Drosophila melanogaster: one gene and its partner. The protein of the gene in region 1 interacts with the protein of each later gene in a pairwise test. Each region holds a gene or a part of one and is shown on either strand. Other genes may lie near its edges.

Region 1 (3,654 bases):
CTCCACTTCCTATCAGGCCTGCATCAGCACCGCCAACGCGGAGACCGCCAATCTGACCGCCGAGGCCGACAAGCAGCAGAAGATCTACCAGGCGGAGGTCACCAGCCTATGCAGCGCCTTCACCGCCTGCAACAGCGACAACGATACCACCAACTTCTTCAAGTGCTACGCCAATGCGGTGAGTTGAAGCTAAAGGATCTTCCGAATGATAGTTGTTAACATAGACTAGGGTTCAAGTAGTACTCATATGCCCCAACAAGTATAGGTAATTCGCATATGGTGAAAGGCCGGAGACTAGGTCAATTTTTTTAGACCTAATCTTAATGTGTTACAAAAAATGTATCGTTTTATTTCCTTAGGCCGAGAGTGATGTATCTGTGATCTATGGCATCGCCACCAATGCCGCCAGTTCGGCCAACTCCCTGAGCACAGGCATCCAGGCCATCCAGGACACCGAGTACCAGTGCACCAACACCACGGAGAGCAACTACGTCCGGGATACCGCTGCCACCTACGATCTGTTGGACAGCTGCCTGAAGTACGGAGTGCCCACCACCTCCACCGCCGCCCCCTCCTCCACCAGCCCCGTTGATAGCTCGAGCGGGGCTCCTGTCACTGATGGCACCACTGTTGTGGCATCGTCCACCGCCGCTGCTGACACCACTGTGGCTGTGACCACCGCTGCACCCGGAACCGCTGCTCCGGCGACCACCGCCACTTCCGGCACTTCGGCCTCTTCTTAAGTCACAACTTTAAGTAATCACAAGCAATAAATGAACATTTGAAAAAACGTTATGAAAGGTGTCCTTTAAACATTATTTAGGAACAGAAAAATTTATTTTATATGTCGAAATCATTATGTAAATTTAAAGGAACTCAATTAAACTTATTTGTTTAAATTTTTATTTTTCATTAAGTTATTATTAACACTTACATATTATTACTACCGTCACTCTCTCTCTCTTGAGATAGTTGGTAGCACATTAAGTACCTATAAAAAGTCAAATGAACTAGAAATCTTTTAAATAGTTGATTTACGAGCAAACAAGTTTTTACATATGGCATGTAAGAGTCATCATAATATATTTTACATATTTTAGCCGGATAAGAGTTTCATTTCATTTATTAAAAATATAGGATTTGATTACAACTGCTAACTTTATATTTTTTTTTTTTTTTTTTTTTTTTTTTTCATTATTACGATGATGTTTTTATTATTTGATCAACGCACTGTTACCCATGCGGCAACTTAATTTGATCTGCTTAAATTATTTTATTTTACAATGTGTCTTGGTTACTTAAGACTAACAGATTTTTAATCCTAAAAATGATAGGGAGAATTATAATAGTTGATATAACATAGTAATTATTATTTATTTGATTATTCTAATGAATTTTAAAACTAAGACTTTCTAGGTCAAAACCAGGTTAGGGAGGTCATGAGGGTGGTGGCTAACTTTATATAGATTGCCTGAGACAAATGTTGCATACTTTTTGCCGAAAAACAAATGTTATTCAAAACAAGTAAGGAAGTCAGGTTCGGCAAAACCGATGCTTGTATACCCTTGCTGTAAATATATATTTAAAATACTGAAGCATTTTTTTCTATTATTTTCAATTAATTGTACGACATCATTATATGATATAGTCGTATGGTTTTGCTCAAAGATCTGGTTATATCGAATTAAAAGGCTTTAAGATCGAAAAAAAAAAAAAAATAAAGCTGGGATTTCTTTTCAATTACATAAAGTTTATATGTTCATTCAATATTTGAATATGACACATTGATAGGAATAGTTTTCGCTAAGTTTTTGGGCTTTGTGGCCCAATAGTTACAGCAATCAATTCCATGGATTGTAAACTCTTAAGCTGTTGAGTTACCTTTGATAAGTTGAAAGACCAGGTGCTTGTGGACTACATTATATTGTTATCCGCACTTCGACTTGACTCATCGATTGGAGCCGTCTGGTCATACGGCCTAATGCTACCTAATTGATCGGAATTCACTTGCAACAAAGAAATCACACGAATTTCAAGTTGGTCAAACGGATCCATCATTTTACCGACCAGACGGGTATATAAAACATTTAGACCTGGTCTACAGTAGTCCCAGTAAAGGAATAACCGTCAACATGAATATTCTGTGCACCGTGCTTATCTTCGCCAGCGTTTTGGCGGCCAACGTAAACAAAACGGCACATCCGCTTATTTCTCGAGAGTAACCACTTCCGTTTCCAGGCCAAGCCCAATAACCAGATCCAGAGTGCCTTGGATCAGTATTTGGTGCATGCTCGCAGTCTGGATACATTTGTTTCCGAGGATATGACCACGCAGTGCTTCAACTTATACATGCCTATGCTGAATCAAGTGGCTGCCACTTTCTCGAGTTCCTATCAGGACTGCATCACCACCGCCAATGCCCAGATCGCCAATTTGACCGCCCAGGCGGAGCAGCAGCAGAAGACCTATCAGTCCGACGTTTCAACACTCTGCAGTGCCTTTACCGCCTGCGACAGCAACAATGATACCGCAAACTTCTTCAACTGCTACGCGAATGCTGTAAGAAAATGCACAATGAAATAGTGAAAGTATTGAAAAATTGAATTTTAAATATTCCTATAGGCTGATAATGACGTCTCTGTGATCTACAACCTGGCCAGCAACGCTGCCAGCTCGGCCACCTCCTTCAGCTCGGGCATCCAAGCCATCCAGGACACCGAGTACCAGTGCACCAACACAACGCAGAACAACTACGTCCGGGATACAGCTGCCACCTACGATCTGCTGGACAATTGCCTCAAGAATGGAGTGCCCACCACTACCGCCACATCCTCATCAGCCGCCCCTCAAACTACCTCTACCACAGACGGGGGTTTCCTATTTGGCCTTTGAGTAGTTAGCATTCGAAACTTTAACATATTCTAATCCATAAAAACTTGTATCGTTCAGTAATTTTTTAAACCAAACAAAAGAAAACAAATAATTCAATTATATTGCCAAATTCACAGTAGCTTGGTTTTATACTGCAGACATCGCCAATTGAAATCTTAACATAATCAATTTTGTTTCAGATGAAATTTTAAAAACGAAGTGATCAGTGAAATAAAGTCGCATTGGTTTCAGTCGTTTAGTTATTTTATAATGTGTACTATTGTACATGCCTAGTGACTAAGGGAAATCCTAAAAGGCTGTTGTATTTTTTATATTTTTTTGCCAACGGAGTACAGATGCTCTCACAAATATACTTTCGTGTAATATTCGGTTATTTCTGGCACAAGATTTCGGAACAGACTGATGAGTTGCCCACAAGCCGCAGGCAGCATCAATGGAAAGTTTTTACCTACACTCGGAGAATAGAATAGAATAGACTGACCGAACTTACACCTTTTCGATTGGCGAGCGGGCATAAATATTCAATCGGCGGAGGTGGCCTTATCGGCGATACATTCAATTATCTCTCCGGTTTGCGACTGTTGGCGCTTTAAAGTGTGCCCACACACAGTGGCTTGTGCTCAGTCGAATTTTGTTCTCGGACCATTAAACATTACCCATTCAGCCAGCATTCACCATTCCAACATTCGACATTCAACATGGAAGGCCAACGCGTGGCAGTCGTCGCATTTGCTGTTTTGCTCGCCGGATTGTGCGTGCTAT
Region 2 (4,648 bases), on another chromosome or scaffold:
CCACCACCACCGATGCCAGGCTGGAATGGAGGAGGGCCACCGCCACCAAGGCCAGGATGGAATGGCGGAGGACCTCCGCCACCAAGGCCAGGCTGGAATGGAGGGATGGAACAGGAATGGGATAACTATCCACGCCTCCCCGATCAGCCGGATCCCAATGATCCAAACACGAATTGGAATCCAGATAATGAGTCTAGCACCACTCCACAAACGCCAATACCAGGACCCATCTTTCCAACGACAACACCTAAGCCAGAGCCCACCTTTCCCACGATCCAGCCACGTCCAACCGCTCAGCCAACGAAGGATACGCTCATAATAGGAACCAATCGACCGCCGTTGGTGCCGCCCCATAATCCGGATCCACCCACGCCCACTTTTCCCACTTGGATCGTGCCGGAGCCATTGCCAAAACCATTGGACGAACTCTCCGAAAATCGTGCTATTATATTCCCCAGCTCTAGCAAATATATCCATGTGCCAAACCCGGAGGTTCCCTCAATTCCCATTGATGTGAGACGAAGATGAATCTTCTAAGAGGGAGTTCCCCGATTCACACTTGTTGTATATATATTCGTAGACCATTGTTCAATTGCTCCACCCGAGATCGTCTTTGTCATAAGTTCAAAACAGGTTCTAAAAGCTCGTTGGAAATAAACGAAATTTTAATAAATTACACATAAACAAATGAGACAGCACATGATTGGATGAGACTGGGGTATCTGACGGATGAACGTTAGTAACCCCGCTGCTTGTAACCACCTCCACCTCCGTAAAGATCCTGATTCTTGTGCGGATAATGGACACTGGCAGGATGAGACGGCTGAGAGTAGTATCCAGGCGAAGGACGCACTGACCAAGGTGGTGGATAGTAGTCATTTGCTGCCGGAACCGGTCGTGGTGGGTAATAGGCATAGCCACCTGGATGCGTCTGCTGGTGGCTACCACCGTAGCCGTAGCCTCCACCATAGTGATAGTCGTAGCCCTGCTCGTAGCCCTCCTGGATGAGTGGACCTGGTCCAGGATGTAGCTGTGGATCAACTGGCCTTGCTGGCGGATAATGATTTGGGTCGCCGAACAGAAGCTCCGCAATCTTATCGAAAGTGGGTCTACCGTGGGCCAAGCTGGCCAGGATTAGCACTAGAATCGCAGCCAACAACTGCATCTTGGGATATGTAGAGCAATTTTGCTGATAGTCCCAATGTCCATGCGGCTTTTATAGCCAGCAGCAGCACATGGCGATAAGAAAGATGAATGGAATCGAGTGGAAGAACCTTGGGTAATGGAACAAATGCTATATGTACATATGTACTTATAATACTAATCTATTGACTGGTAAACAAGGTTGACTGGGAAAGCTTTCGTTCTCTATATAAAGGGAGGATCATAACTCATGATCATCATCTATGCAAAGATGAGTTATGAATTGCTTGGGAAATCCCTAAACCAAAAATGCGTCTCAACTTATCTATTACTTGGCTTTAGGCCGCAAATTTATACATTGCAAGAAATTTATATATAACATTTATATTTATAAATTTGTATATGGGTATTTCTTTAAAAAATTCATTTATTTGTTCAAATTTATGGCTAGTATCTATGCATATGCACATTGTTGTGTTATATTTTCAACTTTTGCTTTCAGTGTAGACTCTCTCATTCAATTTACTAGAAAGAACACTCAATGAGACTTAAACTACATATCTGGGCATTGAGCCCCTGATGATAACCCCAAAAATAGACACTCAGCTAAGCTCTCGTGTCATCAGATCTCACCATGAAATACACGCGCCGTGAGCTTCTGGGCTTTAGTGTACCCAAAGACGCCATGTTAAGCAGGAGGGTCATCGCATTCGCCGCTCTGGCCCTCATCCAGATAGCCAGCGGTCAGGCCTCGCAATTCAGCAGGGACGAAAGTCAGGAGGATCAGAAGACGGAGTTTAACCTGGCCTCCACTCTGACGGGAGGCATTACCAGCAGTCGCCATCGCCAGCGGGCCAATCTCAATTCGCAACTTTATCCTGGCCTTGGTCAGCTGGGATCGGGTTATGCGGGCGCAACTGGATCCATCGACGATGCCCATGGCCATGAGCAGGGTGGCTCTGGCGTACGAGTGGCCAGTACGAACTCCGTTGTTTTTCCTGGCAACCAGTCACCAAATCCGGCACTCACAATTACAGGAGGTCACCAGATTCCCGCTTATCCGCCTCCGGGTTTTCCTGGACAACAGGCTCCAGTTCCGTACCCAGCTGCAGGAGGCTCTTCAGGAGGATCCTCATCATCCGGTGGTTACCAAAGTGCAGGTAGGTCCTTCTAATAGGTGGTTCATTTATCTTAGTGAAATCAGAAAACTAATATCAAGTCTTAACTCCCAAAAAAGTTATACAAAATTTAAAAGATTGGTGAATAGCAAATCCACATTTTGAAATATATATGAAATTATGATATTAATGAAATGTCCCCTTTTTAGGTGCTGTTTCTCCTCCTGGCTATCCTGTTGCTGGAGCAGTTCCTGCTCAGTATCCGGTGGGAGTTCCTCCCCAGCAGCCAGTGGGTGCAGGAGCACCTGGTTACTTCCCGGGAACTGGTGCCTATCCTGGCTATCCCTACCCCGGAGTATACTTGCCACAGTACCCAGCGTACCCTCAACCAGCCCAGTTCCCCGCCTATGGAGTGCTACCCGGAGCTGTGGCTCAACCAGGAGTTCCTGGAGTAGCTGGAGTTCCGGGAGCACCTGGAGTGGCAGGAGTGCCCGGAGCAGCTGGTCAGGCTCCTGCCACCAGCGGCATGAACTATCATCGCTATCCGGCTCACAATCCCGCTGATCCGAGCCATTGGGACCATCATTTCTCGATGAACACCGAGTACAAGGAGGATGGCGTCCACAAGGGACCATTTGGAGTGCTGAACAATCACAATGCCTTTGGCTATGGCAGTGGATATGGGGGCGGATACAACGGTGCCTTCAACTCGCCGGCCTACTGAAGCTGGCCGACATCATGGGTGGACCTCGGTGGTGGTGGTAGTGGTAATGGTGTTGGTGGGGCGTGAAGTAATCCGAGTCGTAGTCATAACTTCGCTGCTGCCTCCTTGGCCAGAGGCAGCTGTCTTTGCCTATCATCCTGTGTGTCCCTGCGAAATAAACTTGATTTCTGCACACCCAACCAAGATAATTAGCAATGCTGGCCAGTTACCAGTTGCACCTTGAACCGGAAAAAATAAAGCACATGCACTCGGCATTCTGCTCCCATACAGACAGCTAACCCAAGACATTCACATCCCATCCTTATTCTTTTCCTTATTCTTATGGCAATGCCGCTTCTTTTATCCGGCGTGGACACAATCGAAGACGACAGGAGCTACCTGGCTGGCAGGCAGCCGAAAAAAAGGGAACGCACAAAGGCAGGACTCTGGGCGAGCCAAAGGTGGTGGTAGAAAATCAGCGTCAGAGAGAGACGCTGTTACTGGTATTGGTACTCCTGGTGCCCTTCGCTGGACCCAACTGCAGCGACATAAATCGGCTGGGTTTCGCTGTGCAGCGGAAAAGAGAGGGCCGAAGGAAAGGAAAGGAACCCAACCAAGGGACGACGTCTTGATGTCTTGCGGCGCATGCGCAGCCTGCCGCGCAAATCCTTAACAAATTTTTGGCGCTAAAATGACGGACGAGCGCGCCAAAAGCAAGGAACCGCAGGAAACTCGAGAGAATCATGCCCGGGGTATACAGACTACGAGTATACAGACAGACACTTACACTCATGGATTATGAATGATTTGGACGGACGGTATCGGTGGTTTTTACCTGTAGCAAATCGAACCGATTCCAGCCAGGGTTTGATGTCCTTAGGTCATCAGCCATCAGCTGTTCTATGATGAGCGCGGAGAAAGGAGCACAGATTCAGCTGAGAGGATTCGAAACAAAGGAATTAGAATGGGTGGGGTAATGGGTATACTCACGGCAAAGAAGTCTAGATGTGCTAAACGTTTTCCCTTAACCTTTGACATCTAGGAGTTTATGCTCTGTTTCTAACAATTAAAGATTGAACTGCAACAAATACATACATTCCAGATTCTAGGAAATTGAAAATAATGCCCTAAATTATTTAATCCCCTAGGAACTAGGATCATTTCCAACATGCTGGATAAAGACAGCTAATTTAAAATACTTATTTAAAGTAAACATAAACACTAATGATACTACAATTGCATTCAACTAGTTATATCTGAGTTAATACTCACCCGATTTTGAAACTTCCATCAGGTTTTTAAAAGAGTTTTCTAGAAAGAAAAATAAAAATACGAATTTATTGCACTTACCCTATTAAAAGTAAGAATTTTTTCACTTCGCCCACCGTTTTCCGAATGTAATGATGGTAAAAAGATTGAAGTATTTTTGAACGGACGTAAAAATGTTTATTGGTATTCTCTCGCAAAACGATACATACATAACACTGAGTACATACATAACTAGTTACTTCAACAATGCAACGTTATCAACCATCCATGGATAAACGAGGTGAACTGAGGCAGGGCGGGGCGGGGCGGTATGATCAGGAACTGGGAAGTTGATGGTGAGCGTCCTTCGAGGGGCGGGAATGTGAGCGCAAGGAGGGGAGTCCATGAACGACTTAACAAATAACAGCATTAATAA

What was found.
Region 2: the proteins of CG5770 (region 1) and Elal interact in a two-hybrid assay, tested with the Drosophila melanogaster proteins (one large-scale study listed by BioGRID).

Annotation. Positions count from the first base shown.
Region 1 is NT_033778.4:18,043,525-18,047,178, reverse strand, and holds CG5770 (uncharacterized protein), read left to right. Parts: upstream 1-2,105; 5' UTR 2,106-2,132; coding exon 2,133-2,183; intron 2,184-2,238; coding exon 2,239-2,559; intron 2,560-2,622; coding exon 2,623-2,892; 3' UTR 2,893-3,133; downstream 3,134-3,654. Other genes in the region: CG5767 (uncharacterized protein), read left to right, coding at 1-178, 360-743; CG5773 (uncharacterized protein), read left to right, coding at 3,591-3,654.
Region 2 is NT_033777.3:24,863,542-24,868,189, forward strand, and holds Elal (Elastin-like), read left to right. Parts: upstream 1-1,808; 5' UTR 1,809-1,828; coding exon 1,829-2,303; intron 2,304-2,470; coding exon 2,471-2,985; 3' UTR 2,986-4,110; downstream 4,111-4,648. Other genes in the region: CG7016 (uncharacterized protein), read left to right, coding at 1-528; Srg1 (Sting-regulated gene 1), read right to left, coding at 737-1,165.